Linked DNA regions of Macaca mulatta. The protein of the gene in region 2 interacts with the protein of the main gene of each other region in a biochemical or structural test. Links are inferred from orthologs where the notes say so. Each region holds a gene or a part of one and is shown on either strand. Other genes may lie near its edges. The genes, in order: CACYBP, MAPK1, JUN, GAB2, DUSP1, DUSP3 and PPP2CA.

Region 1 (4,197 bases), on a different chromosome or scaffold from region 2:
TCTTTTTATTATAAAGTATCCACTGAAAAAACTTAAAACTGAGACAGTTCCTCAGTTCTGTTGTTGGCAGACTTGAAACCAAAAAAAGATCTGCTTTTTCTGCACAAATACTTTAAGATGTCCTAGATAGTTTCTTATCTAATTTATCATGTAATTTTCCTTGCCTTCTTGGCATGTATTTGTTTTACGTATATAAAAATTTTATTTCCCTTTTATCCCTACCCGTAACGCATTCAAGCTCTATCTTCCTATTTCCTAATTTTTCACTAGGAGGCATTAACACCAATGTGCCTCAAAAATGGGCAAAGGAATTCAACACACATTTCTCCAAAGATACAGAAATGGACACCAAGAACATTAAAGATGCTCAACATCTTCATCATTGGGTAAACGCATATCAAATTCCCAAGATACCACTTCACACCCAGCAAGATGGTGTTATAAACCAAGAAACAAAAATAGAACACCCCAGAAAATAACAAATGTTGATAAGGATGTGGAGAAACTAGAAGCTTCAAACACTTCTTGTGGAAATATGATGCAACCACTCTGGAAATAGGTCTAACAGTTTCTCAAAAAGTTACCATTTGAACCAGTAATTCCACTCCTAGGTATATACCCCAGAGAACTGAAAACACATCCACACAAAAAACTTGTACACAGCACTCGCAGCAGCATTATTTTTATGCTAGTCAGGAAGTGGAAATAAGCCAGGGCGCCATGGCTCACACCTGTAATTCCAGCACTTTCAGAGGCCGAGGCGGGCGGGCAGATCACTTGAGATCAGGAGTTCGAGACGAGCCTGGCCAACGTGGTGAAACCCGGTCGCTACTAAAAATACAAAAATTAGCAGGGCATGGTGGCGCGCGCCTGTAATCCCAGCTACTCAGGAGGCTGAGGCAGGAGAATCCTTTGAACCCGGGAGACGAAGATTGCAGTGAGCCGAGACTGCGCCACTGCACTTCAGCCTAGGCGACAGAGCGAGACTCCATCTCAAAAAAAGAAGTGGAAATAAATGTCCATAAACGGATGAAAGGATAAACACAATGTGCCATACGCATATAATAGAATATTATTTAGCCATAAAGAGCATGTGTACTAATACACTCTACACCATGGATGAACCTGAAAATGTTAGTGCTAAGTTGAAGAAGCCAAAAAACAAAAGGCCACATACAGCGTGACTCCATTTATATGAAATGCCTAGAATCCGCAAATTCACAGAAAGTATAAGATGAGTAGTTGTCAGGGGCTGAGGGGGAATAGGAAGCAATTGTTTAAAAGACACTAAACGGTTTCTTTTTGGAGTGATGAAAATGTTCTGAAACTAGACAGTGGTGATGGCTACACTACACTGAATATATTTAAAAAAAAAAAAACAAAATACCTGAATTATACACTTTAAAATGGTTAAAAACTTGAATTTTATCTCAAACAAAACAAAAATGAAGTGCCCTTAAATGTCTACTTCTACGTACCTAAACTGAGAACGTTCTCTACTCTCAAGAGGACTAATACTGAGCTATCCACCTGCATGACTGATGTTCTCTCCTAGGGGCACATAGTACCCAAGACCTACCTTAAAAGACTTGTCACAAGATACCTAGATTAATACTAGAACACACAAATCTCAGAGTTTTTCTTCATTTAAAGAAAAGATTTTGAGTTAAAAAAAAAAGGCTTGGGATTTCCCAGTACTTGTTTTCATAAAGCAAATCTAGTTACTACACACACAACACTTAACTGTGAATAACTGTTCCGTCTTCACCTCCCCCTTAGGCCAGGAAATGAGCAATACAAGTACTATCATTCCCATTTTCTAACTGAGCAAACCAAGTCTCCATAAAATTTAATTCTCCAACGTTCAGAGTTTACGGAGCTTTAACACAGGCCATTGGGTTTCTTACTATTAATTACAACTAATTTTCCAAGTTATTTATTTTAAAAATCACATACAGCAGATTGCTGTTTGCCAATCACTGGTTTAAACCCCTAGAAATCATACTTTTTAACAACTCTATGAAACGGATGCTACTGCGACACTGAAAAGCTAAACAACTTGCCCAGAGTAACACAGCTCCTCGTGTGTAGAGAAAACATGACTAAGAGAATTCAAGTGCTAGCACCGAAAACTTCTCACCCTCCAACCGCCCTCTACCATAAACGACACTCATGTTTGCACCCAGCTTTGCTTGAATGAAGCTTCCTGTCCTCTGGCTGGGAAACCAGCGCAGAAAGGGCCTGAGGAACACGCGCAGGGGGCAGCTCTCTCAGACCCACTCCCCGCACCGCCTGCACGGAGAATCGCCGCACACCCCTGCTCCGGCCCGGCAGGCGGGTGGGGTGCGAGGCCGAGGGGAAGCGCGGGGAGCCGACGGCGCAGGAAAGGGCGAATGAGGCGTCCCCCAGGGAAGGCGGCGCGCCGACTGCCGCGGCACCGGGTCGCCGCAGGGCGGCTCAGCCCACGGAAACGGCGGTGGGGCGGGAGGCTGGCACTGCAGCTCCAGCCGGGGAGCATGAAGAAGATGGGGCCGAACCACTTACCTCTTCTGAAGCCATGGGGGCTGGATCAGGCCGAAGGCCCGAGCTGCAGCCGCGCAGAGGAGAGAACAGGAAACGCCGCGCGGAGCCCTCAAACCGAGCGCAGACGCCCACTCGCACGAGTCGCGGCGCCGCAGCCCGCGAGCACACCGACCCTGCGCGAGATCGCAGCCCGCCTCCCGCACGCGACGGATCTGGAACCTTCGCGAGGCCGCCGCCGCCACCGCCCACCGCGAGCACGCTCCACCCGCCAAGCCTGGCCCCACCCCTCCCCGCCTCGCAGAGTGTGGCCCCGCCCCTCCCCGCCCCGCCGAGTCTGGCTCCGCCCGCCTGCCGAATCTCCTAGCAACGCTCAAGTCTCGCGAGCGAACCAGCAGTCCGAGCAGAGTAATGCCTTACTCTCCACCCCGACAACTTTATGTATTGTAATTTGACCGCACTAGGCCAGGCTGCGCAGTCGCAGCTCGGAACCGCTGCCTTAACCCAGCCCCGGAAATAACGTACCGATTTTCGGAGTCCAAGTCGGAAGATGAGTAGAGTCTTCCGTCCGTTCTAGGACACCAGACACACCAGGCAGCCATGTTGTGTAAGGCTAGTCTCTCAGCCTCCGCGAGAAGGCAAAAAATGGGGAGAAGGAGCTGCCTGGTTATGTTCAAACGAGAATGAATGGATATGTTAAGCGTGGAGGACTCCTAATGGTAGCGGTTTGATTTTCAGTGAGTTTGCCGCAGTGGAGACGTCACCGCTCTCTGTCCGCTCCGACCTCGTGTCGTCATCATTGGCCGCGGTAGGAGGTGGAGCTGCGTTGGCCACATGACCCGGCCCCGTGGCGGAAGCCCAGGTCAAGGCCCTAACGAAAGGGTCGGCGTTTGGCCACAGTTTCAGACCCTCCTTTTGTCGTGGACTGTTGAAGCATAATTTCCTGGTGCTTTCGCCTCTTTCACCGACCATTTCAAGAGTCCGTAGTTCTCGCCTGGGTTTGGATTCGGTATAAGTGAGCCTGTTTACCATCAAAGAAAATGGTGGAATGTCTTCTGGAGACGATGTTCTCTTCTGGTTCTAACGCTGCCTCTCAGCGAGACCCCAGAGAAGCCTAGTTTTCAGGTTATTCTAGTCCTTGGCAGGCTCAAGATGTCAACAACACGGTTGGAAACAACCCCTCAGAGATCACATAGCCCGCGCTCAGCTTTTTTGATCGTCCAAGGCGGCGACCCCTGAGAGGTTACATAGCGAGCACTCAGCTTTATAGATCGCCCAAGGCAGCGATTAGAATCAGCAACTCGGAGAGGAAAAAAAGCTCTTAGCGAAATGGAGGCTGACCATTATCTGTAATAAAGAATCGGAAGTACAGTACAAAAATAAATTACCGAAGCGCAACATGCGTGAATTTCACACAAAAAATAACATTAAGGGAAAGAAGCCAGACACAGAAGAGTTCATATTGTGTGGTTCAATTTAAATGAAGTCTAAAAACTAGCCCATGGTGTTAATGAGCGTAGTGGGAAGGACAATGACGTGGAAGAGCCACCAGGGGGCTTTTGAGGTTCCGGTAATGTTACTTGATTTAGACACTGATTTATAAATAGGTGGGTTCACTTTAGAAATTAAGTTGTAAACGTATTTTTATGTACGTAGTTTCTTCTATAGATTATATTT
Region 2 (4,156 bases):
ATCACTATTCAAATATTAGTGAATATTTCAACAAGCCCTCCATAAACCCAGCACTGCTAGCCAACATTTATTAAATGCTAATAACGTGCAATGGAGAAGGTTAACAGCAGGGTATGTCATCAACCTGATAAAAGGCTATAATCTGGATCTAGGATTCAAATTCCAATTATATTTGTATTTCACTTAGGAAAAGAAAATCACAAAAAGAGGACTTAGCATTTCAAATGGAGAGTCAGATGGTCAAATAAGCCTACAGCAGTGACAGAAGTGGTTCCCACATCTAAACAACTTCAGACTAGTAAAAATCTTATCAGACAGGAGAAATCTTATCAGATGGGGGTATCTTTTCAATTGACATGTCCTAAACGTAAAAGACTTTTTTCAGTCCACATTTTAGATAAGCTAATCTTGTTAAAAGGGCCAAAGGATGTGATGGGAAATTCTGAGCCTCTCATAATGAGACATGTTCACTGGCACGCTTCCCAGTGAGTGCAACAGCAATGAGATGTATGGTGGAGAAATAATGCTACTGGCAATACTTTCTCTTCATTACTTTTCAGGGCCTTATTTCTTTTAGGCTCGACCTAATTTAAATTCTCTCTTGGCTCCTAAGCCTGTGAGTTCATATTAATTTTCACAGTTGTATTCAGCATTTTGCTCCTAAAGAAAGTGAAAACATTAAAGATTCAATTAAAGTCTCTTTTAAAAGAATTTTAACTAATCTTTCTATCTAGCTACCATACTTGGTAAAACATGCCTTCTATGGCATTTCTAAAATTATGATGATTGAAATTTGAATACATTTCTGAAACAGACTTGTATTTACTTTGTAACAGTAAGATACAGAAAATTCTGCAAGTATTAATTACACTAAGGAACGCAGAGTGTTTTCCTAAAGACAGCTGAAAAGAGCTGCAGTGTGTCTAGTAGAATCTCAGTCTACAATCTTAATAACTCTAGTTCTATGACCTCAGGAATTGGCTTCACCTCGAAACACTTTCTCACCTGAAAAAAGGAATAACACCATCTTTTCCTCCCTCAATGTGGCTGTTCAAATAAAATGAAATAATATATGTAGCACAGTACCTGCCACGAAGTGCTCAATAAATTATTAGTTTACTTCCTTCAGTCAACACAAAAGACACATTCACAAGATTCAGATTTAAGGAAATCTATTTCCACAAGTCCTCACCAGCACAAAATGCTACCGCTAGTTTGCTTTAATAAAAACAATACCGTCAGCGGCGCGCGGTGGCTCACGCCTGTAATCCCAGCACTTTGGGAGGCCGAGACGGGCGGATCACTAGATCAATAGATCGAGACCATCCGGGTCAACATGGTGACACCCTGTCTCTACTAAAAAATACAAAAATTAGCCGGGCGTGGTGGCGCGCGCCTGCAGTCTCAGCTACTAGGGAGGCTGAGGCAAGAGAATCGCTTGAACCTAGGAGGCGGAGGTTGAAGTGAACAGAGATCGCGCCACTGCACTTCAGCCTGGGCAACAGAGCGAGACCCCGTCTCAAAAAAAAGAGAGAAAGAAAAACCGTCACTATCATTTCACTTTTCTAAGGGACCTGAATCAAGATGAGGGAGTCTACACGTGATTCTGCAATAACTCCATTAAGGCTGCATACATAATGACCACTAAATCATTAACAGGAGTCCATAGCAATTGGGCTAAAACATCTGGGAGCATTTATGCTGGTAAAAGAGCTCACTTGGGGGCTAAAAAAAAAGTCAAATTAGGCCCAACTCTAAATGGATCTTTAATAAATGAAGAGAGTAATGTTGGTTTATCCTTCCTGAAACGCTAGCAGTACGATATTAAAATCCACTTGAAAGTACAAACTTCAAGACGGAAATACTCCACCAACACTGGTGTCAGTAATCCATTTTAGAAAGCCTGCGCGGAGACCACCATTAGCACCGCTGAGGACAGTTAATGAAAGCCGTTGGCTGCAAACAGAGGCGAGGAGAGAAAAATTATTTCGGTGTTCTGCACACACACGGAGGCGAACCGCTTTCAGGACCTCAGCAGCCACCGCCGCCAACACCGACAAGCATCTGATGGAATTCCCGGTTTTACAATCGAAAGTCCAAAAGAAGGCCATGATACTAGCAAATTGGGGGGTGGAGGCGCTTCCGTTGCCTTCCCGAGGGTCCAGACTTTAAAGGCGGCGCTGCGCCCGGGGCCGAGGGTCCACTAGTCCCGGCCTCCGCCCCCCGCCCCCCACGCTGCGCCCCTTCCCGAGCGACCGCCGGCCCGGGAAGCGCGAGAGCAACACCACCTAAACCTCAACCGGCCCAGGGCCCCGCCCGAGCCCTGGCGCGCGGACCGCAGTGAAGTCCGGGTTCGAGGTCGCCGCGGCGCCCGAGGCCGAGGCGCCGGCGAGGCCGAGGCTGCGTCCGCTGCGGCCCCGGGCGGCGGGGGGGCCGGGCGTGGCCGGGCGCGGACACTCACCACACCATGCCGTAGGCACCCTCGCCGATGTACGAGAGGTTGGTGTAGCGCGGTCCCACGTCGAACACCTGCCCGCGGACCATCTCCGGGCCCGCGCCCGCCGCCGCCGCCGCCGCCATGTTGGCTGCCGGGCCGCCGCCGCCTCCGCCGCGCTGAGCTCGACGCTCGGCGGCCGCCGCTCAGCTTCTATCGCCCCTCCTGAAGGGACTGTGCCGCCGCCGGTGCAGCCGCCGCCGCTGACCGGGAGGAGGAAAGAAGACGCCGTGTGGCAGACCTGAAGAGCCCACGACAACTCGTACCGACTGCCTGCCTGCCTGCCAGACTGACGGGCGGGCCGGCGGGCGGGCGGAGGGAGGGGCGCGCGCCGAGAAGGGTGCCCGGGCGGGGCCAAGCAGCGTGCATGCGGATTGGTTCCTAGCGGCTGGGGGCGGGGCCGCGCGGCCCAGCGGAAGCGGCGGGCTCCGGGAGGGGTACTGCGCGGCGTTGACTAAGGGGGCACCAGCGGGCGCGGTCACGTGCGTTCGCGGGGGCGTCGGCGCGGGACTTGTCTCTTCAGACACCCAGGGAGACAGACGTGGGGCAGAACCCACGGGGCTGAAGTGAGAGATGGCAGGGGCCCGGGCGAGCACCCGAGGAAGTACCGAACAGAGCCAGCGAGGGACAAGGGGCTGTGCTTGAGGCCCGACGACGCGCCATAGCCCGGCCGCGCCACAGCTCAGGCCTCTGCGAATCCGTGGTCCACACGCTGATGAACTTAAGAGGCCTTGGCACTGGGGCAGAAACCGAAAGGCATGACCCCAGACCGAGAAAGATATTTGCATACTGAGAAAGTGTGAAACACAATTGTTGAGATTAAAAGGAGACAGAGAGGATACGCGAATCAGGTTGGTTCAGATGTTTGTTGAGCACACTCCATGTTCCTGGGAGTTACTTTTTAGAGAGAGACAGACAGACAAATACGTGTAATACTCAAGTTGTGATAAGTAGGATGAAGAAGTACAGAGCAGAAGGGAGGGTGCGGTGTCTCACGCCTGTCACTTTGGGAGGCCAAGGCGGGCGGATCACTTGAGATCAGGAGTTTGAGACCAGGTCTCTACTGAAAATACAAAAATTAAGTCCGGGCGAGGTGGCTCATGCCTGTAATCCCAGCACTTTGGGAAACTGAGGCGGGCGGATCACGAGATCAGGAGTTCAAAACCAGCCTGGCCAACATGGTAAAACCCCGTCTCTACTAAAAATATAAAATTTAACTGGGCGCGGTGGCGGGCGCCTGTTATCCCAGTTACTTGGGAGGCTGAGGCAGGAGGATGGCTTGAACACGGGAGGCGGAGGTTGCAGTGAGCTGAGATCGCCTCACTGCACTTCAGCCTGGGCGACAGAACAAGACTCCGTCTCGAAAACAAAATAATAATAATACAAAAATTAGCTTGGCGTGGTGGTGGGTGCCTGTAATCCCAGCTACACGGGAGGCTGAGGCAGGAGAATCGCTTGAACCCGGGAGGAGGAGGTTACGGTGAGCCACGCCACTGCACTCCAGGCTGGGCAACAGAGCAAGACTCCGTCTCCAAAAAAAAAAAAAAAGGAAAGAAAAGAAAAAAGAAATACAAAGCAGAGAGTAAGGGATTAGGGGTCAGTGGGTCGAAACACATGAGAGATACATTTGCGTTCGGAAACAGACCCAGATTGGTACAGATG
Region 3 (4,117 bases), on a different chromosome or scaffold from region 2:
AGGGGTGGGGGGCGGGGGGAAGATAAAATAACAACCGCGGAAAAGGAACCACTTACATGTGTCTAGCGCTTCCTAGAGGCTACTCAGGATATGGGCCCACCACCCGGCCGGGAAGGCGGAGATTTGAAGTCCAGGTTCTACCCCGGGCTCCTGAGTTCTACTGCGTTACTTTATGCGAGTGTCCCCCGCCTTCTGAGCTTGTTTTCCCGGAAGCAACTCGGCGCGGGTGGAGAGTGTGTGCGTGTGTGTGTGTGTGTGCGCGCGCGCATGTTGTGCGTGTTGTGTTAAGCGTGTGTGTGTTGTCCGGGGGCGGGAAGGGGAGTAGACTAACACCGGGGTTCCCCGAGTTTCGGATCGCCTACACGCTTGTTCCCATCTGGACCCTGTTACCCACTAATTGCGCCCACTATAAAAACTGCCCCTCGGAGGCAAAGCTGTGATCCCCCGCGCCCTTTCCCCCACGGTCCCGGAGGATGAAGTGGGGTGCAACGGAGACTCAGCTGAGCGTCCAGTTTTGGGCAATACAAATCTCTCAGCTTCTAAGAGCAGCCAGACAACCCCGCGGACCATCCCTCCTGAACTTGACCGAGATGCAAACTTCGCAGCGTTTCTCAACGTGGGGGGCCGACTCTCGGGAGACCGCCCCCAAACTTAAGCCCCCTTAGGCTCGCCCCCAACTGGGACTTCACAGAGCCACCTTAAGGGCGGCGCTCCCGCCCCCCGGAAGTGCGGGGGGGCGGCGGACCTGGACTCTCAGCCTCCCGCCCCGCGCGGTGGCGGACGCCGGTGGATGACTTCGAGCCCCACAAGTGGGGAAACACAACCACCCCTCGCCCGCACCCTTGACCCAAAACAACTGGCCGGGTTCCCTGGCCTCCCGGGTCCCCGCATCCCCTGCATCCCAGTCCGCAGCCGTGAACTTGAGCCCCCTCCGTCAGATGTTGCGAGCGTCCGCCCGCTCGCGGCAGCCACCGTCACTAGACAGTCAAACCCCAAGACGTCAGCCCACAATGCACCGGGCGGGCCGGGAAAAACGGCCCGGGGAGGGGACCGGGGAAGAGAGGGCCGAGAGGCGTGCGGCAGGGGGGAGGGTAGGAGAAAGAAGGGCCCGACTGTAGGAGGGCAGCGGAGCATTACCTCATCCCGTGAGCCTCCGCGGGCCCAGAGAAGAATCTTCTAGGGTGGAGTCTCCATGGTGACGGGCGGGCCCGCCCCCCTGAGAGCGACGCGAGCCAATGGGAAGGCCTTGGGGTGACATCATGGGCTATTTTTAGGGGTTGACTGGTAGCAGATAAGTGTTGAGCTCGAGCTGGATAAGGGCTCAGAGTTGCACTGAGTGTGGCTGAAGCAGCGAGGCGGGAGTGGAGGTGCGCGGACTCAGGCAGGCAGACAGACACAACCAGCCAGCCAGGACGGCAGTATAGTCCGAACTGCAAATCTTATTTTCTTTTCCACCGTCTCTCCAACTGCCCAGAGCTAGCGCCTGTGGCTCCCGGGCTGGTGTTACGAGGAGTGCCCAGAGAGCCTGGTCTCCAGCCGCCCCCAGGAGGAGAGCCCTGCTGCCCAGGCGCTGTTGACAGCGGTGGCGAGCAGCGGTACCCACGCGCCCGCCGGGGGAAGTCGGCGAGCGACTGCAGCAGCAAAGAACTTTCTCGGCCCGGAGGACCGGAGACAACTGGCCCAGAGTCCCGGAGCGAACTTTTGCAAGCCTTTCCTGCGTCTTAGGCTATTCGGCGGCGGTAAAGACCAGGAGGCGGCGGACAGCCACGCAAAAGAAGAAGGACGTGCGCTCAGCTTCGCTCGCACCGGTTGCTGAACTTGGGCGAGCGCGAGCCGCGGCTGCCGGGCGCCCCCTCCCCCTCGCAGCGGAGGAGGGGACAAGTCGTCGGAGTCTGGGCGGCCGAGACCCGCCGCTGGTCGGCCTCTGCGGGTCGGCACTGATCCGCGCCGCCGGGAGAGCCGCTGCTCTGGGAAGCGAGTTCGCCCGCGGACTCCAAGGAACGGCGGCGCCCGAAGAGCGCTCAGTGAGTGACCGCGACTTTTCAAAGCCGGGTAGCGCGCGCGCGAGTCGACAAGTAAGAGTGCGGGAGGCATCTTAATTAACCCTGCGCTCCCTGGAGCGAGCTGGTGAGGAGGGCGCAGCGGGGACGACAACCAGCGGGTGCGCGCGCTCTTAGAGAAACTTTCCCTGCCAAAGGCCCCGGGGGGCACGGGTGTCCCCCGCTTGCCAGAGCGCTGTTGCGGCCCCGAAACTTCAGCACGCAGCCCAAACTAACCTCACGTGAAGTGACGGACTGTTCTATGACTGCAAAGATGGAAACGACCTTCTATGATGATGCCCTCAACGCCTCGTTCCTCCCGTCCGAGAGCGGAGCTTATGGCTACAGTAACCCCAAGATCCTGAAACAGAGCATGACCCTGAACCTGGCCGACCCAGTGGGGAGCCTGAAGCCGCACCTCCGCGCCAAGAACTCGGACCTCCTCACCTCGCCCGACGTGGGGCTGCTCAAGCTGGCGTCGCCCGAGCTGGAGCGCCTGATAATCCAGTCCAGCAACGGGCACATCACCACCACGCCGACCCCCACCCAGTTCCTGTGCCCCAAGAACGTGACAGACGAGCAGGAGGGCTTCGCCGAGGGCTTCGTGCGCGCCCTGGCCGAACTGCACAGCCAGAACACGCTGCCCAGCGTCACGTCAGCGGCGCAGCCGGTCAGCGGGGCGGGCATGGTAGCTCCAGCGGTAGCCTCGGTGGCAGGGGGCAGCGGCAGCGGAGGCTTCAGCGCCAGCCTGCACAGCGAGCCGCCCGTCTACGCCAACCTCAGCAACTTCAACCCAGGCGCGCTGAGCAGCGGCGGCGGGGCGCCCTCCTACGGCGCGGCCGGCCTGGCCTTTCCCGCGCAACCCCAGCAGCAGCAGCCGCCGCCGCAGCCGCCGCACCACCTGCCCCAGCAGATGCCCGTGCAGCACCCGCGGCTGCAAGCCCTGAAGGAGGAGCCTCAGACAGTGCCCGAGATGCCTGGCGAGACGCCGCCCCTGTCCCCCATTGACATGGAGTCCCAGGAGCGGATCAAGGCGGAGAGGAAGCGTATGAGGAACCGCATTGCTGCCTCCAAGTGCCGAAAAAGGAAGCTGGAGAGAATCGCCCGGCTGGAGGAAAAAGTGAAAACCTTGAAAGCTCAGAACTCGGAGCTGGCGTCCACGGCCAACATGCTCAGGGAACAGGTGGCACAGCTTAAACAGAAAGTCATGAACCACGTTAACAGTGGGTGCCAACTCATGCTAACGCAGCAGTTGCAAACATTTTGAAGAGAGACTGTTGGGGGCTGAGGGGCAACGGAGAAAAAAAATAACACAGAGAGACAGACTTGAGAACTTGACAAGTTGCGACGGAGAGAAAAAAGAAGTGTCCGAGAACTAAAGCCAAGGGTATCCAAGTTGGACTGGGTTGCGTCCTGACGGCGCCCCCAGTGTGCACGAGTGGGAAGGACTTGGCGCGCCCTCCCTTGGCGTGGAGCCAGGGAGCGGCCGCCTGCGGGCTGCCCCGCTTTGCGGACGGGCTGTCCCCGCGCGGACGGAACGTTGGACTTTTCGTTAACATTGACCAAGAACTGCATGGACCTAACATTCGATCTCATTCAGTATTAAAGGGGGGAGGGGGAGGGGGTTACAAACTGCAATAGAGACTGTAGATTGCTTCTGTAGTACTCATTAAGAACACAAAGCGGGGGGGAGGGCTGGGGAGGGGCGGCAGGAGGGAGGTTTGTGAGAGCGAGGCTGAGCCTACAGATGAACTCTTTCTGGCCTGCCTTCGTTAACTGTGTATGTACATATATATATTTTTTAATTTGATGAAAGCTGATTACTGTCAATAAACAGCTTCATGCCTTTGTAAGTTATTTCTTGTTTGTTTGTTTGGGTGTCCTGCCCAGTGTTGTTTGTAAATAAGAGATTTGGAGCACTCTGAGTTTACCATTTGTAATAAAGTATATAATTTTTTTATGTTTTGTTTCTGAAAATTCCAGAAAGGATATTTAAGAAAATACAATAAACTATTGAAAAGTACTCCCCTAACCTCTTTTCTGCATCATCTATAGATACTAGCTATCTAGGTGGAGTT
Region 4 (4,062 bases), on a different chromosome or scaffold from region 2:
GAAGAAAGTCAGTGAAATGTTAGATCCAGGAGACTGACTGCTAAAACTCCTAGGGTATCTAGAAGAGCTAAGTACGTGATAGCGGATTCGCTTTTCCAAACTGAGGAGGGTGAACTTCCCCCAACCCAATCAAGATCTGTTGGACCAAATGATGTCCAACTGCTTGAAACATCTCAGCTGCACAGAGACAGAAATGAACAAAACAGCTTTAGTCTAAGGTTGTGTGGGGCAGTGCAAGATGCTGCTTCTCCAATTCATCTGTCCACACAGCACGGTTCCCCATTGAATAAACAGGATACTATCCACTTATCAGAGAAGTTAGGGAGGACCTGCCTTTTAGTGCTGCTTGGAGAGACACTGTCAATGAGCGGGGACGTTGGGGAATTTGGACCCCAATTTCTTGTTCTTCTACACTTGACCTTGCCTTCCAATTCACTATGAAATATATTTACTAGGTTTGCTTCTTCCATTCTACAAATCATGCGAGTTTTCTATACTAAACTGTTTTCCTAGAGGCAATGTAGGAGGGACTCAGCTGGACTTTGTTTCCAGGCAATGAGAGGCTCCCAGGTTGATCCCATTAAGGCAATGCCCTCATTTTGAATAGGGGATGACTGGGACCCCTCCTCCCCCACACACCTGAATTGGAAACTTGGCTAGGCTTTGTACAAGCCCTTGCCCTTAGGCAGTCCATAAAATGGGAACAATACTGAAGACAATCCTGTAAGCCAAGAGTGCAAAGGCTCCGGCGCGTAGTAGGTCCGTCTCCTCCTCCCGCCGAGGGGCGCCAGAGTTAAGGAACTTCTTACTGGGAAGGGGTCCCTCCTTTCAGCAGGAACCTGACCCGCAGAATGGATCGGAAACGCGAGCAACCCTCGGATCCCTTCCCCGTCGACGCTCGGTGAAAAATCGATCGACGACGGAGGGCGCGCAGTCCCTTCTCCGCACGCCCGCCAGCGCCAGGGGCGCGGCCGCCTCCCCGGCCTCCGCGCCCGCAGCTTGAGGCCTCAGGAGAAAGCGAGATTCCGGGGCTCGCCGGCGGCGGTGGCTTTCTGTGTCCTGGCGGATCCCCAGCCCCGCGTCCGCGTGCGCGGCGGCCTCGGGGGCGCGGCGGGAGCGGGCGTGGCGAGCGCGCCGGCCTTCCCGCTGCAACTGCCCCCGCGGCGGCCCGGCGGAGAGTGCGGATTGCGCGCGCTCGGGGCGGGGGAGCGGGCGCGCGCGAGGCCGCCGGGCGCGCGCCGCGCCGCCTAGTCCCCGCCGGGCCGCCCGCCCCGCCCCTGGCCTCCCGCGAGCTGCGCACCGCCGGCCGCTGCCCCAGCTGCCCGAGCCCGCGCCCTAGTCCGCGCGACCCAGCGGCGGGCTCCAGGCCGGCAGCATGAGCGGCGGCGGCGGCGACGTGGTGTGCACCGGCTGGCTGAGGAAATCGCCTCCCGAGAAGAAGTTGAGGCGCTATGTGAGTGCGGGCGCGGCCGCCGAGGGGCGGGCGGGCGGGGGGCGCTCCGGGGCCTGCGGAGGGGCGGGGGGCTCCCGGAGGGGCGGCAGGCTGGGGAGCTCGGGCCCGGAGCCGCGGGGGCCGGGGGCGAGGAGCGGCCAGGGTCGTGTGGGGTACCTGCACACCTGTCACAGGTGCGCCGCCGAGGGGCGGGGCGGGGCGGGCGGCAGGTTGAGGCTGCGGCTCCTGCTCCGCCAGGCGGGCGCGGCGTCGGCGCCTCCCCAGGCGGTCTGCCCGTAAACTAAATATAGTGTCGAAGTTTGTATTGATGGCTTCTGGAGACCGAGAGAGTTGACTCTCGGGGCTGGGGCTCCGCGGCGGCCCCTAGCAGCTTCAGCTCACAGGTCCGGGAGAGGGCGGGAAAGGGGGGCGTAGGCTGTGGGCCCGCGCGGACGGCCCCACAAAGGGCGAGCGCCTCACGCCCTCTCCTTCCCTTTCTCCGCCCGCCCCTCCCGGCCGCCGGCCTCACTCCGTCCGCGGCTGCATCACCGGCAGCGTCAGCGGCATGTGCAGCCCTTGTATTAAGTGACTCATTTGTTTGTCCCCCTTCTCTCCCTTTATTCCGTTCGTCTCTCACAGGCGCCTCCCCCGACCCCGGTGTGACACTGCAGTTTGGTCCCCGTGGCTGGCCCGGGTTTGGGACCTGGCAGCTCCCGGTTGTCTGGGGTCGGGAGAGATCGAGGCTCTCGGCGCCCAGGTGTTGCCAACCCACAGTGTTTACTGACATCGCTGGAACAGCCTCTTCCCTCTAGGTGGGGAACTGGCAGTTTGGGGGAGGTGGAACGGCGTGGCGCTGAGCCGTGGAGTTCTGGCTTTTTTTTTTTTTTTTTTTTTTTAACCCCTCTCCCCAGAGGATGCCTTGCCTGGTGAGGTCAAAGTACAAGATGGTGCCAGTTACTGAGATTTTGCCGAAATGGTCCTAGGGTAGTCGCGGGAGTTTGGAAGTGGGGGTAAGGTGGCTGGAAGGTTTCAAGGTCTCTCATCTGCTCCCTCTCCTTTTCCCATGAAATGCCCTTGTTTAACGGGCTGTGGTGCCGGACTCCGGGATCACTCCCACAGCCTGGAAGGGAGCCGTTGCCTCCAGCTGCAGTGCATCAAGGGAGCTCGGAATAGACCCTGCCCTCTGTCAGCTGCACCAGTGGCTGTCCATGGGGGGAGAAGCAGAAGCCTACCAGAATTTCCTGTCTTGGCTCCCCAGATCAGAATCAAGGGACTTCTGGCCTCTGGACTGAGGAAGTGACATTCTGTTTTTCAAAGGAAGTGTTGTTGTTGCGGAGTGCAAGTGTGTGTGTCAATGAAATCAGGCTCTTACGTAGATGTTTGCTAGGAAAAAAAAAATTCTGATTTAGCACATGACTTTTGAAAGTGGACGTGGATTTATAGGAGGGATGAAGCAGTGAATTGTTCATCTCAGTTTGAAAGCTCATTTTTAGGAGTGTCTATGTAGCCAAAGTATAATTATTAAGAAATACACTTTTTTCCTCTTCAGGCTTGTATCAGTTCGTTAGGAAGGTTGAATACTTTAATTAGGATTAAGGAGCAGTGATTTACTATTAACAATTTAATAAATATTTTTAAAACTTTGTCCCAAAGAGCTTCCAAAAATTATCTTTACAAATAGATTTCCATACAAGCTAGTGGAATAGAGTGTCCACAGTAAAAAAAAAAAGAAAAAGTGACCCTTAGTTTTCAAATTTGAACACTACACTAAACCTTGAAACTTGTTTTTGAAACAATTTGCAAACAGTATGACATTGTATCTCCATTTGACTTACCGCTCCTTGAACGCTCACCCAGACTCTCTTTATGACCCATTTCTTGGGTGTTTTTGTTCCCAAACAACTTTAGTTCAAAAAAACCAGGTTTGGAGGCATTTGGGTCAAGCACCTTTTTCACTCATTTGAACGAATCTAGAATCGTGTGATGGCCTTAGCCTCTCTTTCCCATCTTCGATGCACCTTCAGCCCATCAGGTGTCAGACCTTAACAGCTTTCAGTAACAGCTTTTCTTAGGCCAGGATGTGATGTGTTCACTTACATGACTGGAAGCCTCTGCCCTTTCGAAAGTTCAGTTTCCCCCCAGTTGAAACTGCTGATCTGTGTAACCTTAAGCTTCCGGGGAACAGTATTCTTTTACGTCTACTGTTTTTGGGGGTATTAAGAATTTTTGCATCCTGTTGTAAGTTAAAACTCTGCTAGTTTGCTTATTTCAGTAGAGGCCCGAGTTCATCAGAACCAAACTTGGAAAGTATTTCCCAGCCTAATGGCTGTATATTTACCCCAAAGTAGCTGCTGCTTCTGGTATACATCATAGTCATGTTATATTGTACTGAGAAATCCTCTTTATAAGAATGCCACAAGCATATGAGATAAGGGGAAAAAGTAGTTGATGAACTAGGTTATAACTATTTAAAACGATTTTTTAAAAAACTGATTTAATTCGAAGGCTGGGCGCAGTGGTTTATGCCTGTAATCCCAGCACTTTGGGAGGCTGAGGCCGGCAGATCACTGGAGGTCAGAAATTCGAGACCAGCCTGGCCAAAACCCCGTCTCTACCATAAATACAAAAAT
Region 5 (4,228 bases), on a different chromosome or scaffold from region 2:
GTAGACAATGACATTTGTGGAGGCAGACACCTCCACAAAAATAAATAAGGTATATTCTCATATGTATATGTGTCGTCGGGAATGATAATACTGGTAGGTATGTCAAGCATGAAGAGATTCTACAAAAAACAGGAGCGAGCAAAAAGAAACTGGCTCACACACTGAGTCCTTTCTCTTCTGCCCCATTTTGTCAGAGGGACTTGATGTACCCACTACATATTGGTCCCGAATGTGCTGAGTTCAGCAGATGTCTTGACGCTAAGTCATCACAACGACTGCTTAGGAACCCAGTGGAACTCGGGTGAAGTTAAATAAATAAAGACCAGCCCTCTCGAGCCCCTCCCAGAGTTACTGCATTTCTCCTCTCAAGGAGCCTGGAGTCCCAGTGGGATGTGAAGAGCCTCACCTCCCACAGCCTTTCAGCAGCTGGGAGAGGTCGTGATGGGACTCTGAAGGTAGCTCAGCGCACTGTTCGTGGAGTGGACAGGGATGGAGACGGGGAAGTTGAACACAGTGGTGGTGGAGGTGCCTCGGTCGAGCACAGCCATGGCGGGGCTCCCAGCCTCTGCCGAGCAGTGTGGGGCCAGCACCTGGGACTCAAACTGCAGCAGCTGGCCCATGAAGCTGAAGTTGGGGGAGATGATGCTTCGCCTCTGCTTCACAAACTCAAAGGCCTCGTCTAGCTTGACTCGGTTAGTCCTCATGAGGTAAGCAAGGCAGATAGTAGCTGACCGGGAAATGCCCGCCTGGCAGTGGACAAACACCCTTCCTCCAGCATTCTTGATGGAGTCTAGAAAACAAAAGGAGCGGCTGGTTACTGGAGAGCTCAGGAGAACCACCCCAAGCCCAGGTACAGTGTATCTGAGAAAGGTCATGTGTGTCTTGTCTAGAAATGGTCAACATCACCACACGCCATCACATGGCTACTGTTCATGGAAGCAACTTGGGCACTGCGCAAAGGATGGCACAGGATTTAAACTCAGACTGGGGATTTCCACTCAGCAGATAGATCTCACACCAGTCAATTCAACTTTGTGAGCCCCAGTTTGCAAATCTGTAAAGTGGGACATTGAATCAAATTCACATTTTGCAGGAATGTTGCCCACACCAGACTGATACTGAATGTCTGGAAGAAGGCTCATAAGACTTCAAGCTCTTGCCACAGAGGTTGGGCTTAGGGGCTAAAATGAGAAGAGAGAGGCAGAAAAGCCCCAGGCATCCATTCCATTTACCTATGAAGTCAATGGCCTCGTTGAACCAGGAGCTGATGTCTGCCTTGTGGTTGTCCTCCACAGGGATGCTCTTGTATTGGTAGTGACCCTCAAAATGGTTGGGACAATTGGCTGAGACGTTGATCAAGGCAGTGATGCCCAAGGCATCCAGCATGTCCTTGCGGGAAGCGTGATAGGCACTGCCCAGGTACAGAAAGGGCAGGATTTCCACCGGGCCACCCTGAAATCCAGAAATATCCAACATTCATCAAGCTCGCTCAAAGCCAAGGCCAGTGCCCACACCCACAAAAACTTTCTGCTGGAAAAGTCAATTTCAGATAGCGAGTGAACTCAGTTCTGTTGCTGGAGGATAAATAAATAGGGAACTAAGCCCATTTGCCTGGGCAGGACCAGCAAATTCATTTCTGTAGAGCCTACAATCATATCCCTGTGTCCCCTCCGTTATAAATAATGCTGCAGGTCACTTTCTATATTCTCCCTGGCACCACTCCTCCGTGCCTTTGCCAGTTCTTACTTCTCCCCTGTGGCAGGGACACCTACTAACCTGATCGTAGAGTGGGGTACTGCAGGAACTGCACCCAGATTCCGCGCTGTCAGGGACGCTAGTACTCAGGGGAAGGCTGAGCCCCATGGGGGTCGACTGTTTGCTGCACAGCTCCGGGCAGGAAGCCGAAAACGCTTCGTATCCTCCTGGGAATACAAAGACATTTTTTTTTTCCTCAGTGACGCCGGGACAGGGCACCTTCATACGACTCCCCCACCCACCAAGGGCTGGAAGTTTACAGCGGAAAGGCCCAGGCAAGTCTTTGTTCCCAGAGCCAAACAAAGCCAATGACAAGTTCCAGAGATAAATGTACTCCAGCGCCCACGCGCTGCAGGTGGGGCGACCCCCCGGGAGCCAAGAGCCGAGGGTACCGGGCAAAATCTCAGGGGTGTGCGGCCCGCCCCGAGCTTCCCCGAGGGCGTACCTTTGAGGAAGAAGACTTGCGCGGCGCGCGCCTCGCGGCAGAGCGCACCGGCCGCCAGAGTCAGGGTGCCGTCGCGCCTGGCGCCGTCCAGGGCGGCGCTGCGCTCGTCCAGCAACACCACGGCGTGGTAGGCGCCGGCCAGCAGGCGGCCGCGCAGCTCGGCGTTGGGCACGATGTGCTCCAGGCCCATGGCGCCCTTGGCCCGGCGCCGCACGATGGTGCTGAAGCGCACGTTGACAGAGCCGGCGATGTGGCCGGCGTTGAAGGCGAAGAAGGAGCGGCAGTCCAGCAGCAGGCATTGCGCCGCGCGCTCCCTCAGCAGCGCCCGCAGGCCTCCAGCGTCCAGGGTGCCCACTTCCATGACCATGGCCGGCCTCAGCGCCCCCAGCGTGATCAGCCCTGCGGTGCTCTTTGTCCTCGGGGCCAAGGGCAGGGCGGCGCCTTTCGAGGAAAAGCTAGACCCCCGGGTCGCTCTGCGCCGAACCAAAAGCTGCTTTTGGACTGAGAGAGGAGCGTCACGCGGGGCTCTGGGCTCCTCGGCTTCTTCGCGGTTGCCCCGACTGCCCCTTCGAACCACGTCGCACACACAGCCCGAACGTCCTTCGCAGCGAGCCCTATCCGGGGAGCTCGTTTATATGAGGCCTCTGGGCGACGGGGCGGGCCTGACCCGCGCGCAGGGGGAGGAGGGTGTTTGTTTGAATGGTGATCACGTGACGGGGCGGTGACGTCACCCGCCCTGCCCGGCCCGGCGCCGCCGAGCTACAGGGGAAGACGTCATCAGCCTCGGAGCTGGGTCCGCTTGCTGCGCGCTGGCTCGCGGCCCGGCCCCCGCCCTGCCGTCCGGCCTGCTCTTGGCGCGTCCCCAGGGACTGGGCCCGCGCCGCGCTCCGGGCCCAGCGGGGAGGCGGAGGGCTCGCTGCCAGCTGAGGCTGACCTCTGGGATGCGAGCGGCCGGGAGAATGGGCGACGTGCCACCTGCCTTGGCCTCGCCGCTCCTCCGTCTCTCCCTCCCCGAGTCCCCTTCCCCGTGCCCCTCGGCCTTCGACCTGAGCCGAAAGGGGCTTCCTGCGCTTTTGCATACTCTTGTGCCCCTTTCTCTCATTTCCTCATCACTAACAGGCGGGGAAACTGAGGTTCCCCAAGCGAAGCTACTGACTTGCCCAGAACCACACTACTGGGGTGTGGGGTGGGGCGGCGCGTGGGGCAGCACAGAGGCGCCTAAGATGAAGTTTGGAGAAAAATGAACAGCTCTGCCGATAGAAAAGTCGTTCCTACCAAAAACGACTCGAGCGAGTTGGGGCGGAGAGGTTCAGGGCAATGCTTTCCTGTTTCCCCGACTTTCTTTAAGGTGGCTTTAAAATATCTACATTTGCCATGAAAGTGTAAGCGAGCAAACCCCCACCGGGAAATAATGCTATTCCTAGTCTGTGGCCCCTGGAAGACTTGGAGCCAAGGAAGGCAGGTCAAGGGGCTGAAATCCCGGTCGGGGGTCGCAAGGCCCCGCGGTGGATTCCCGGGTTTGGCGTTTGGAGGGGTGAGGGGCGACCCGCAGCGCGACTCGACGGCTCCCCCCAGGGGCCGCCCGACACGTTTCTGTCACCTTGGCTCCAGACCGAGCTTCTCCATCCCTTTATTACACAAATAGGCAGTATACTGAGTGAGCGCCCACTAAGCGCTGGGCTGGGGGGCTCCAACCCGGAACAGAAGCCGGCCCCAACCCTCGCTCCCTGTCGTCGCTTCCGTTATAGGCTGAAGGCAAAATCCAATCCCGGGCCGTTGTGGGCGGACTGCCAGGACATGGATCGCAACGCTTGGGAAGACCCCCCGCCCCCAACGCCCAGCGATATCCATGCCCTGAGTCCCAGTGACGGCCCCCTGGACAGCACAGCCTGCTGCAGCGACGCGACGCGCTAGGTACACAAACATAAACATTGCGCCACCGGCCCGGGTGCCGAGTCAGGAACATTCTGCGGTTTCCTCCCCTCCTGGGGGAGGGGATTTCACTGGCCACCCTCTGTCGTCGTTGTG
Region 6 (4,250 bases), on a different chromosome or scaffold from region 2:
TAAAAATCATAATTGGTTTGAATGGTGAAAAGGCCCTTTTATTTCATCTCACAAAACATCCCAGCCCAAATGGCAGTTTATACTTTATAAAATGTTACCTCCTATGTGATCTTGTTTGCTTACTGCGAGCAGCCCTGTGAGGAACAAGGATGGCAATATCCCCGCTTAACAGAGCTTGAACTCAGGGCCAACAGGATGAGCAGAGGGATAAGCACAGGCCCCATGTGCTGCCGGTGGCAGAGCTGGGGGAAGATCTCCTTTCTCCCGACATCCAGCCCTGCTCTATCTTACACCTCACTCTGCCTCTCATGCCCACATCTGCTGCAAAACCCCCAAGGCCTGGCAAATGTGGCTCACACAGGCTCTGTCTCTGCCTTGTGAGGACATGGCTGCAGCCCTGATTTTGTTAAGGGGATGGAGCCCAAGTCCTCTTGGTGCTTGGTGCTCACTGATCCTTCCTGTTGAGGAACCTCCACACCCCTGGCCAAGTCAAAGTCAGATGTGCTTAGAGGGCAAGGGATGTATTTTCTACAGGGGCCATCAGCAATTGCCACTCTGGCTACACCAGACGTGCACAACCTTGGTTTCCACTTGGGAAGTGATGACAGCTGAATGGCCAAGCTGCCCAAGCAAGCGGCGTTCCTGAGGCTAACAAGGCCTGCTTGCTGCTTGGGGCAAGAGGAAGGGTGTCTCTAGAGCTTTGCAATTCCTGAAGCCTTTGGCTGACACTGTGGGACTCTGTTTATTCCTGCTTAGGACACTGCACAAGACTGTAAAGCAGTGGCTGATAGAAAAAAATCCTTTGAAGAGTCACTCCCATTCATCTAATACTTTTTTTTTTTTAGATGGAGTTTCACTCTTGTTGCCCGGCTGGAGTGCAATGGCACGATCTCGGCTCACTGCAACCTCACCTCCCGGGTTCAAACGATTCTCCTGCCTCAGCCTCCCAAGTAGCTGGGACTACAGGCGTCGGCCACCACGCCCAGCTAATTTTTGTATTTTCAGTAGAGACAGGGTTTCACCATGTTGGTCAGGCTGGTCTTGAACTGCTGACCTCAGGTGATCCGCCTGCCTCAGCCTCCCAAAGTGCTGGGATCACAGGTGTGAGCCACCGCGCCAGGCCTCTAATACTATTAATAATTCAATATTCAAAAAATTTACCATTATCATTATTACTATCTCTACTATGAATGAACATTGTACAGTGCCTGACATAAAGTAGGCGCTCAGACTGGTGAATGAATGATGGAATGGATGAGAACTGTCCCCATGAGGCTAGGGCCTGATGGACCCCTTCTAGTTCCACGATGAACCCCATTTCTGTGGCAGTCCTTGGCAGGCTGAACAGCAGGTCCTAGCAGAGGTCAGGAAATACATACATGAACAAGACATTGACCCTGTCCTTGTAGTCCCTCACACACTCTGAGCCACCATTTCCTCCTCTGTAAAATGGGAGGAGGGTTAGTTTTGAATTTTCAACATGCCATCCTTGGGCTGAGCCATGGAGCTTAGGATTTTGGTAACTGGGTCCTCAGAGTCTCATGAAAATCCAACCTGAGCCTTTCCAAGGCTGTACAGGCATGCTAATCTATTCTTTCTTGTGGCTCCTATTTCACATCTCAGAATTCTAACACTGGTTCTCTTCTGCTGATTAGACATTCTTACTATAAAAAATTTTAAAATTTAAATTAAAAAAAAAATTCTTACTGGCCAGGCGCAGTGGCTAACGCCTGTAATCCCAGCACTTTTGGAGGCCGACGCGGGCAGGAGTTTGAGACCAGCCTGGCCAAGAGACCAGCCTGACCAATATGGCAAAACCCCATCTCTACTAAAAATACAAAAATTAGCCAGGCATGGTGGTGGGCACCTGTAATCCCAGCTACTCGGGAGGCTGAGGCAGGAGAATTGCTTGAACCCAGGAGGCAGAGGTTGCAGTGAGCCGAGATCGCGCCCTCCAGCCAGGGTGACAGAGCCTGGGAGTGAAAGGTCAAGAGCCTTTTCTAGGTAATGGCTCAGGTCCTTAGGGGGATTATCAGTGGACCGTTCTAGAATCTCCTGTAAATCAAACCACATCTGGAAGGTGGGGGCCTGGAAATCCCGGCCCAGCTCCCCGGACTCGCTCGTTTGGGGTGTTTAGGTTCCCTGATCCGGGACTGCCGGGCCAGGAAAATTCCATGCCCGAATTGTGACGTCGGCCCGTTGCCATGGCGGCGAAGGCAGACATTCCGCGGTGACCTCACTGCAGAACCAGGCAGCTGTCACATGACGCGCTGGCAGGAGACCGGCCGGGCGACCGAGGGCCACCTGTTAAGTGAACATGGTAGCCCCGACCCCGCCCAAGGCCAAGCCCCAAGGGGGTGGCGGCTGAGGACCCAGGCAGGCGCCCCCCGGGCTCCGTGCACCCCGCGACGGGGAATGGCCGCGCCCGGCCAGGCAGGGTTCCAGTTCCTTGGCCCCACGCGCTGGGGTAGGCGTCGACTCCAGCCACCTCCCAAGCCCCCGCTGTGGCTCCCGGAGGGGCGATCGCGCCCGGGCTCCCCCAACCCAAGACTCGCGACACCCCGACCCCGGCCTCGAGTGGGCGGGGCGTCCCGAGAGGGACGGCGGGGCCGGGCTCACTGGGGGGACTCACGCGTTGCCCACGTAGATCCGCGGGGTGACCTCGTTGCAGGGTTGGCTCGGGAGGCTGTAGCAGCCGCTGCCGTCCGAGAGCAGGTCGTTGAGATCCTGCACCGAGAGCTCGAACGAGCCGGACATGGCGGCGGCGGGGCCCAGCACGCCCGGCAGGAGCAAGCGAGGCGGAGAGCGGCGGGTCAGCTGGGCGGGGGCTCGCTCCGGGAGCCGCCCAGTCCCGCCCCAGGGGCGGGCCCGCAGGGCTCCGGGAGCTGAGGAGCGCGGGCGCCGTGACGCGGGGGCCCAGCGCGCCACTCCTGGGCGCGTCCCCGGGGGGAGACGCCACCGCCCTCGAGTCTCGGGAATCCTCGCCCCATCCCGGTCCAGGCCGTTTGTGTATCTTTGTGTATCTTTGTAAACTGGGAAGCGCGGTAACTTCCTTCCCTGAATTAAATGCAGGGCCCAATAAACGTTTCTGTGGCGGGGGTACACCTAGAGGTTCCTTCAGTCTTTCAGGATTACAGGGACCGCGGGGTTCGGCTCGTGAGCGGCTCCCTGCTGTGGAGGCATCACCCGGGCGCTTGACAGAATCAAGCGCCCAGGTGATTGCTGGAAGAGTTAAATGTGACATTCAAGGAAGGCACCCAGCACTGCATGGCGAGCACTCAATAAGTGTTGGTCCTTCCTCAACAAATGCGTTGAGCACCCAGTGGGTGCTACACCCTGTGCTGGGGTGGAGATCAATCAGACTCCTGCAGCCCTTCCTGGAGCAGATGCCAGCCCACCATAAGCCACTCAGCATTTCCTGAACTCCCACTAAGTACAAAAGATAGTCTGTACTGGAGGAAAGCCGCCCTCCCCTACTGCCATGAAAGACTGGCAGTTCCCTTCCTGCAAAGAGCAAATTTGGCCTTGAATTCAGGAACCCCACATCCTGAGCCCAGCCCTGCCACTAATTTGGTTCTTTTTTTTTTTTTTTTTTTTTTTTGAGACGGAGTCTCGCTCTGTCGCCCAGGCTGGAGTGCAGTGGCCTGATCTCAGCTCACTGCAAGCTCCGCCTCCCGGGTTCACGCCATTCTCCTGCCTCAGCCTCCCGAGTAGCTGGGACCACAGGCGCCCGCCAGCTCGCCCGGCTAGTTTTTTGTATTTTTTAGTAGAGACGGGGTTTCACTGTGTTAGCCAGGATGGTCTCGATCTCCTGACTTTGTGATCCACCCGTCTCGGCCTCCCAAAGTGCTGGGATTACAGGCTTGAGCCACCGCGCCCGGCCTAATTTGGTTCTTGAGTAACATTGCTGCTGCTGTGGTCTTCAGTTTCCTCATTTGCAAAAGGAATTGGATCAGATTATCATTAGGGTCAACTTTCTCCTCCCCCAAAACTTGTGGTCTTGCACCTTCAGGCAAGCTATTGCAGTGGAGACTACTTAGCTGATAGCCCAAGATGTGTAACCAAGGCTGGAATTTCTGTACCCCTCACCCCACCCCATCCCTGGCCACCCCTCCCAGCACACCACTCCTTTCCTTCTGGTGTTGGCTGGTAGCATCTGCATTCTAAGCAGGGGAGAACGCTTTCGAGTTCCTTGACTTGAGCCTAGGTTAGCATTAAAAACACAAGCCCAGAGGCAGCCAGCCATGCTC
Region 7 (3,500 bases), on a different chromosome or scaffold from region 2:
AGATCCACATACCTGCCCATCCACCAAGGCAGTGAGAGGAAGATAGTCAAAAAGATCTGTAAAATATTTCCATACATTTGCATTTCCATATTTTCTTAAACACTCATCATAGAAACCATAAACTTGTGTGATCTGTCTGCTCTCATGATTCCCTCGAAGAATGGTGATGCGTTCACGGTAACGAACCTAAAACAACAAAATGCAAAACATAAACAACTAGCTCTTTCAAAAACCAATGAAAATTCAAGAAACTTTCTATAGCAAAAAATGCAGAGTTACAATTTTGTTGAAAAAACAACACACATCCTCATATCATACTGAACCAAAACCACAGCTCTACACAGTGTTTAAATGCCCATGGGATGTTTGCCCACATCATCTCAACTAAAATCAAACTCCCTCTACCACCAACTTTATACCAAACATAATCAATGGCATACAAAACCACATAAACTACTTTACAGTTCAATAATTTTTCACAAATTTATAGTTATGCAATAATCACCACAATCCAGTTTTAGAACCTTTCCATTATCCCAAAAAGATCCCTAATGCAGTCACTCTCCACTCCCACTCTAGCTCCTGGCAACCACTGATTTACTTTCTGTCTTAAGTTTGTCTTTTCTAGAAATGTCATATAAATGGAATACAAAATGTAGTCTTTTGGCTAATATCACCTAGAATATTTTTGAGGCTCACCCATGTAATGGCATAGATCAGTGGTTTGTTCCTTTTCATAGTTGCACAGTCCTTCACTGTACGCCTATACCATTTTTTGTTTCTCTATTCACAGGTAAGATGAACTGGTAATTATGTTATTGAGGTTTTTGGCTACTATGAATAATGTTGCCATAATCATATGCGTGGAAGTTTTCCTGTGGACATATGCTTTCATTTCTCTTGGGAAGATTCCTAGGAATGTAATTGTTGGATCATGTGGTAATGTTTAACTTTTTGAGAAACCGTCAAGTTGTTTTTCAAAGTAGCTAGACCATGTTATATCCCCACCAGCAATGCATGAAGAGTTTAATCTCCGGTATTAACCAACACTTGGTATTATCAACCTTACTGATTACAACCATTCTAATAGGTGTGAAGTAGTATCTCAGCTACTTTAATTTGCATTTCCCTGATTACAATTGATATCAAGCAGCTTTTCATGTGCTCATTGACCACTCATGTATCATCTTCTTGGGTAAAGTATCTATTCAAATATTTTCTCCATTTAACAATTATCTGTCTCGTTATTGAGCTATAAAAGTTGTTTTTTTGTTGTTGTTTGCTTTTGTTTTCTAATATCTGAATACAAGTACTTCTTTTCTGGTGTCATCTTTTGAAGAAACAGAATCTTAATTTTGATAAAGTCCAATTTTTCAATTTTTTATGGATTGTGCTTTTGTTATATCTAAGAATCTTTACTTAACCTGAGAAAGATTTTCTGGTTTTTTATTCTAGAAGTTTTGTAGCTTTAGCTCTTACATTTAGATCTACGATACATTCTGATCCATTTGCTTCAGCACCATTTACTGAAAGAAACATCCTCTCTCCCGGTATTCTTTTGCTAAGGCTGCCGCAACAAAGCATCAAAGAACAGGCAGCTTAAACAACAGAAATTTACTTCCTCACAGTTTCAGAGGCAGAAGTCCAAGATCACGGTGTCAGCAGAGCTGGTTTCTTCTGAAGGCCTCTCTCCTTGATTTATGGATGCTCATCATCTCCATCTCTCTTATCTTCTCCCCATTTGTGTCCTAATCTCTAATAAGGATACCACTTACACTGGATTAGGGTCCAACCATGTGACCCCATCACTTTACCTTAATTACCTGTCCAAATACAGTCACATTCTGAGGTGCTGTGGGTTAGGACTTAGACAAATGAATTTTGGGGGCTACAATTCAGCCCATTACACCTCCATGAGTAATTTCTCCCCCCCAGATAGGGTCTCACTCTGTCACCCAGGTTCAACTGCACTGGTGTAGCTCACCGCAGCCTCAAATTCCTAGGCTCAAGCAATCCTCCCACCTCAGCCTCCAGAGTGGCTAGGACTACAGCACATGCCAACATGTCTGGCTAAAATTGTTTTCTGAAGAGATGGTGTCTCACTAGGTTGCCCAGGCTGCTTGCATAAACTCTTAAAGGTAGCACACTCATTCCTCTTTGAGCACTGGATTCATCCTGGGTTTTTATTTTTAGCACAGGTTAGCTCTTTTCATAGTATTTGGAGTCACCGCAGAAACCTTCCACCATCTAGTCCAACTCCTTCATTTTACAGCTGCAGAAAATAACAACCTCCAAAAATATTTTGTAGCATTTTACACAATTCAGATATTAATCACGAAAATTCAGCTCAAGCTAAAACCACATCTCAATGCTTCTCTAATATTAGGAAAGTCTGTGACAGTCATTTTATCATTTTGAATATTATTTAATAAAAATCAGTCTGTTGCCTAGGAAAATTTTTTTTAAAAATCTCCCCAAGATTTTTAGGTAAAGATAAAGTCAAACAATTTATTTAAAGGGAAAGGCGGAAGCCTGCCACCCTAACAGCTATTTACCATGTTTTGCTTCATGTTCAGATCATCATCGGTACATTCTGCAAAGCTACAACTGGCATGTAATGCATGTAATTTTGGAACTTGCTTTTTTCAGTTATCATTTCTATTGTTCTAGAGTTTTGTTTTTTGAAGACACAGGGGTCTTGCTCTGTCACACGGCTGGAGTGCAGTGGTGCACCATGGCTCACTGTAGCCTTGACCTCCCAGGTTCGAGTGATCCTCCCACCTGAGCTTCCTGAGTAGCTGAGACTACAAGTGTACACCACTGTACCTGGCTTTTTTTTTTTTTTTTTTAACTTTTTGTAGAGATGGGGTCTATGTTGACCAGGCTGTTCTTGAACTCCTGGACTCAAGTGATCCTCTCCGCCCTCCCCAGCCTTCCAAAGTGTTGAGATAACAGGCGCGAACCACTGCACCCAGCCTATTCTAGATTATTACTGTCATGGTTAATGGCTGGAAACTATTCAACTGAGATAAACTATAATGTACATATTCACTGTTAAATATTTACAGCAAATGTTTTCTTGAATTTCTTCCTCAGAAAAAATCTTTTTTACTTGAACAAGATTCTTCCTTGTTTTTTTTTTTGAGACAGGGTCTCACCATCACCCAAGCTACAGTGTGGGGTGGCAAGATCAAGTCTCATTGCAGCCACGACCTCCTGGGCTCAAGCAACTCTCCCCACCTCAGCCTCCTGAGTAGCTGGGACTACAGGCCTGTGCCACCACACTTGGTTAATTATTATTACTATTTTTTTGTAGACAAGGTCTCACTATGTCACCCAGGCTGGTCTCAAACTCTTGGACTCAAGCAATACGCCCACCTTGTCCTGTCCTCCCAAAGTGCTGGGATTACAGCCACGACTCACCGTGACCAGCTGATGTAAACATTGACATTTGGTATGTTTATACATTTATAATACTTCAAAAGTATCTAAAAACACAA

The links.
Region 1: of the proteins of MAPK1 (region 2) and CACYBP, one has a biochemical effect on the other in vitro, tested with the Homo sapiens proteins (2 studies listed by BioGRID). The link is inferred for Macaca mulatta from reciprocal best matches to the Homo sapiens genes MAPK1 and CACYBP.
Region 3: of the proteins of MAPK1 (region 2) and JUN, one has a biochemical effect on the other in vitro, tested with the Homo sapiens proteins (2 studies listed by BioGRID, with this or other methods). The link is inferred for Macaca mulatta from reciprocal best matches to the Homo sapiens genes MAPK1 and JUN.
Region 4: of the proteins of MAPK1 (region 2) and GAB2, one has a biochemical effect on the other in vitro, tested with the Homo sapiens proteins (2 studies listed by BioGRID). The link is inferred for Macaca mulatta from reciprocal best matches to the Homo sapiens genes MAPK1 and GAB2.
Region 5: of the proteins of MAPK1 (region 2) and DUSP1, one has a biochemical effect on the other in vitro, tested with the Homo sapiens proteins (2 studies listed by BioGRID and IntAct). The link is inferred for Macaca mulatta from reciprocal best matches to the Homo sapiens genes MAPK1 and DUSP1.
Region 6: of the proteins of MAPK1 (region 2) and DUSP3, one has a biochemical effect on the other in vitro, tested with the Homo sapiens proteins (2 studies listed by BioGRID and IntAct). The link is inferred for Macaca mulatta from reciprocal best matches to the Homo sapiens genes MAPK1 and DUSP3.
Region 7: of the proteins of MAPK1 (region 2) and PPP2CA, one has a biochemical effect on the other in vitro, tested with the Homo sapiens proteins (2 studies listed by BioGRID and IntAct). The link is inferred for Macaca mulatta from reciprocal best matches to the Homo sapiens genes MAPK1 and PPP2CA.

The regions. Positions count from the first base shown.
Region 1 is NC_133406.1:32,456,533-32,460,729, reverse strand, and holds the start of CACYBP (calcyclin-binding protein), read right to left. Parts: upstream 2,801-4,197; 5' UTR 2,560-2,800; coding exon 2,545-2,559; intron 993-2,544; exon of another isoform or gene 732-992; intron 1-731. UniProt on the Homo sapiens protein: May be involved in calcium-dependent ubiquitination and subsequent proteasomal degradation of target proteins. Probably serves as a molecular bridge in ubiquitin E3 complexes. Participates in the ubiquitin-mediated degradation of beta-catenin (CTNNB1).
Region 2 is NC_133415.1:31,122,731-31,126,886, reverse strand, and holds the start of MAPK1 (mitogen-activated protein kinase 1), read right to left. Parts: upstream 2,801-4,156; 5' UTR 2,581-2,800; coding exon 2,462-2,580; intron 1-2,461. UniProt on the Homo sapiens protein: Serine/threonine kinase which acts as an essential component of the MAP kinase signal transduction pathway. MAPK1/ERK2 and MAPK3/ERK1 are the 2 MAPKs which play an important role in the MAPK/ERK cascade.
Region 3 is NC_133406.1:181,864,979-181,869,095, forward strand, and holds JUN (transcription factor Jun), read left to right. Parts: upstream 1-1,317; 5' UTR 1,318-2,301; coding exon 2,302-3,306; 3' UTR 3,307-3,634; downstream 3,635-4,117. UniProt on the Homo sapiens protein: Transcription factor that recognizes and binds to the AP-1 consensus motif 5'-TGA[GC]TCA-3'.
Region 4 is NC_133419.1:78,843,459-78,847,520, reverse strand, and holds the start of GAB2 (GRB2-associated-binding protein 2), read left to right. Parts: upstream 1-1,262; 5' UTR 1,263-1,375; coding exon 1,376-1,453; intron 1,454-4,062. UniProt on the Homo sapiens protein: Adapter protein which acts downstream of several membrane receptors including cytokine, antigen, hormone, cell matrix and growth factor receptors to regulate multiple signaling pathways.
Region 5 is NC_133411.1:181,644,710-181,648,937, forward strand, and holds the start of DUSP1 (dual specificity protein phosphatase 1), read right to left. Parts: upstream 2,801-4,228; 5' UTR 2,568-2,800; coding exon 2,201-2,567; intron 1,923-2,200; coding exon 1,777-1,922; intron 1,453-1,776; coding exon 1,233-1,452; intron 791-1,232; coding exon 420-790; 3' UTR 1-419. UniProt on the Homo sapiens protein: Dual specificity phosphatase that dephosphorylates MAP kinase MAPK1/ERK2 on both 'Thr-183' and 'Tyr-185', regulating its activity during the meiotic cell cycle.
Region 6 is NC_133421.1:68,127,572-68,131,821, forward strand, and holds the start of DUSP3 (dual specificity protein phosphatase 3), read right to left. Parts: upstream 2,801-4,250; 5' UTR 2,758-2,800; coding exon 2,633-2,757; intron 1-2,632. UniProt on the Homo sapiens protein: Shows activity both for tyrosine-protein phosphate and serine-protein phosphate, but displays a strong preference toward phosphotyrosines. Specifically dephosphorylates and inactivates ERK1 and ERK2.
Region 7 is NC_133411.1:143,104,930-143,108,429, forward strand, and holds part of PPP2CA (serine/threonine-protein phosphatase 2A catalytic subunit alpha isoform), read right to left. Parts: intron 187-3,500; coding exon 13-186; intron 1-12. UniProt on the Homo sapiens protein: Catalytic subunit of protein phosphatase 2A (PP2A), a serine/threonine phosphatase involved in the regulation of a wide variety of enzymes, signal transduction pathways, and cellular events.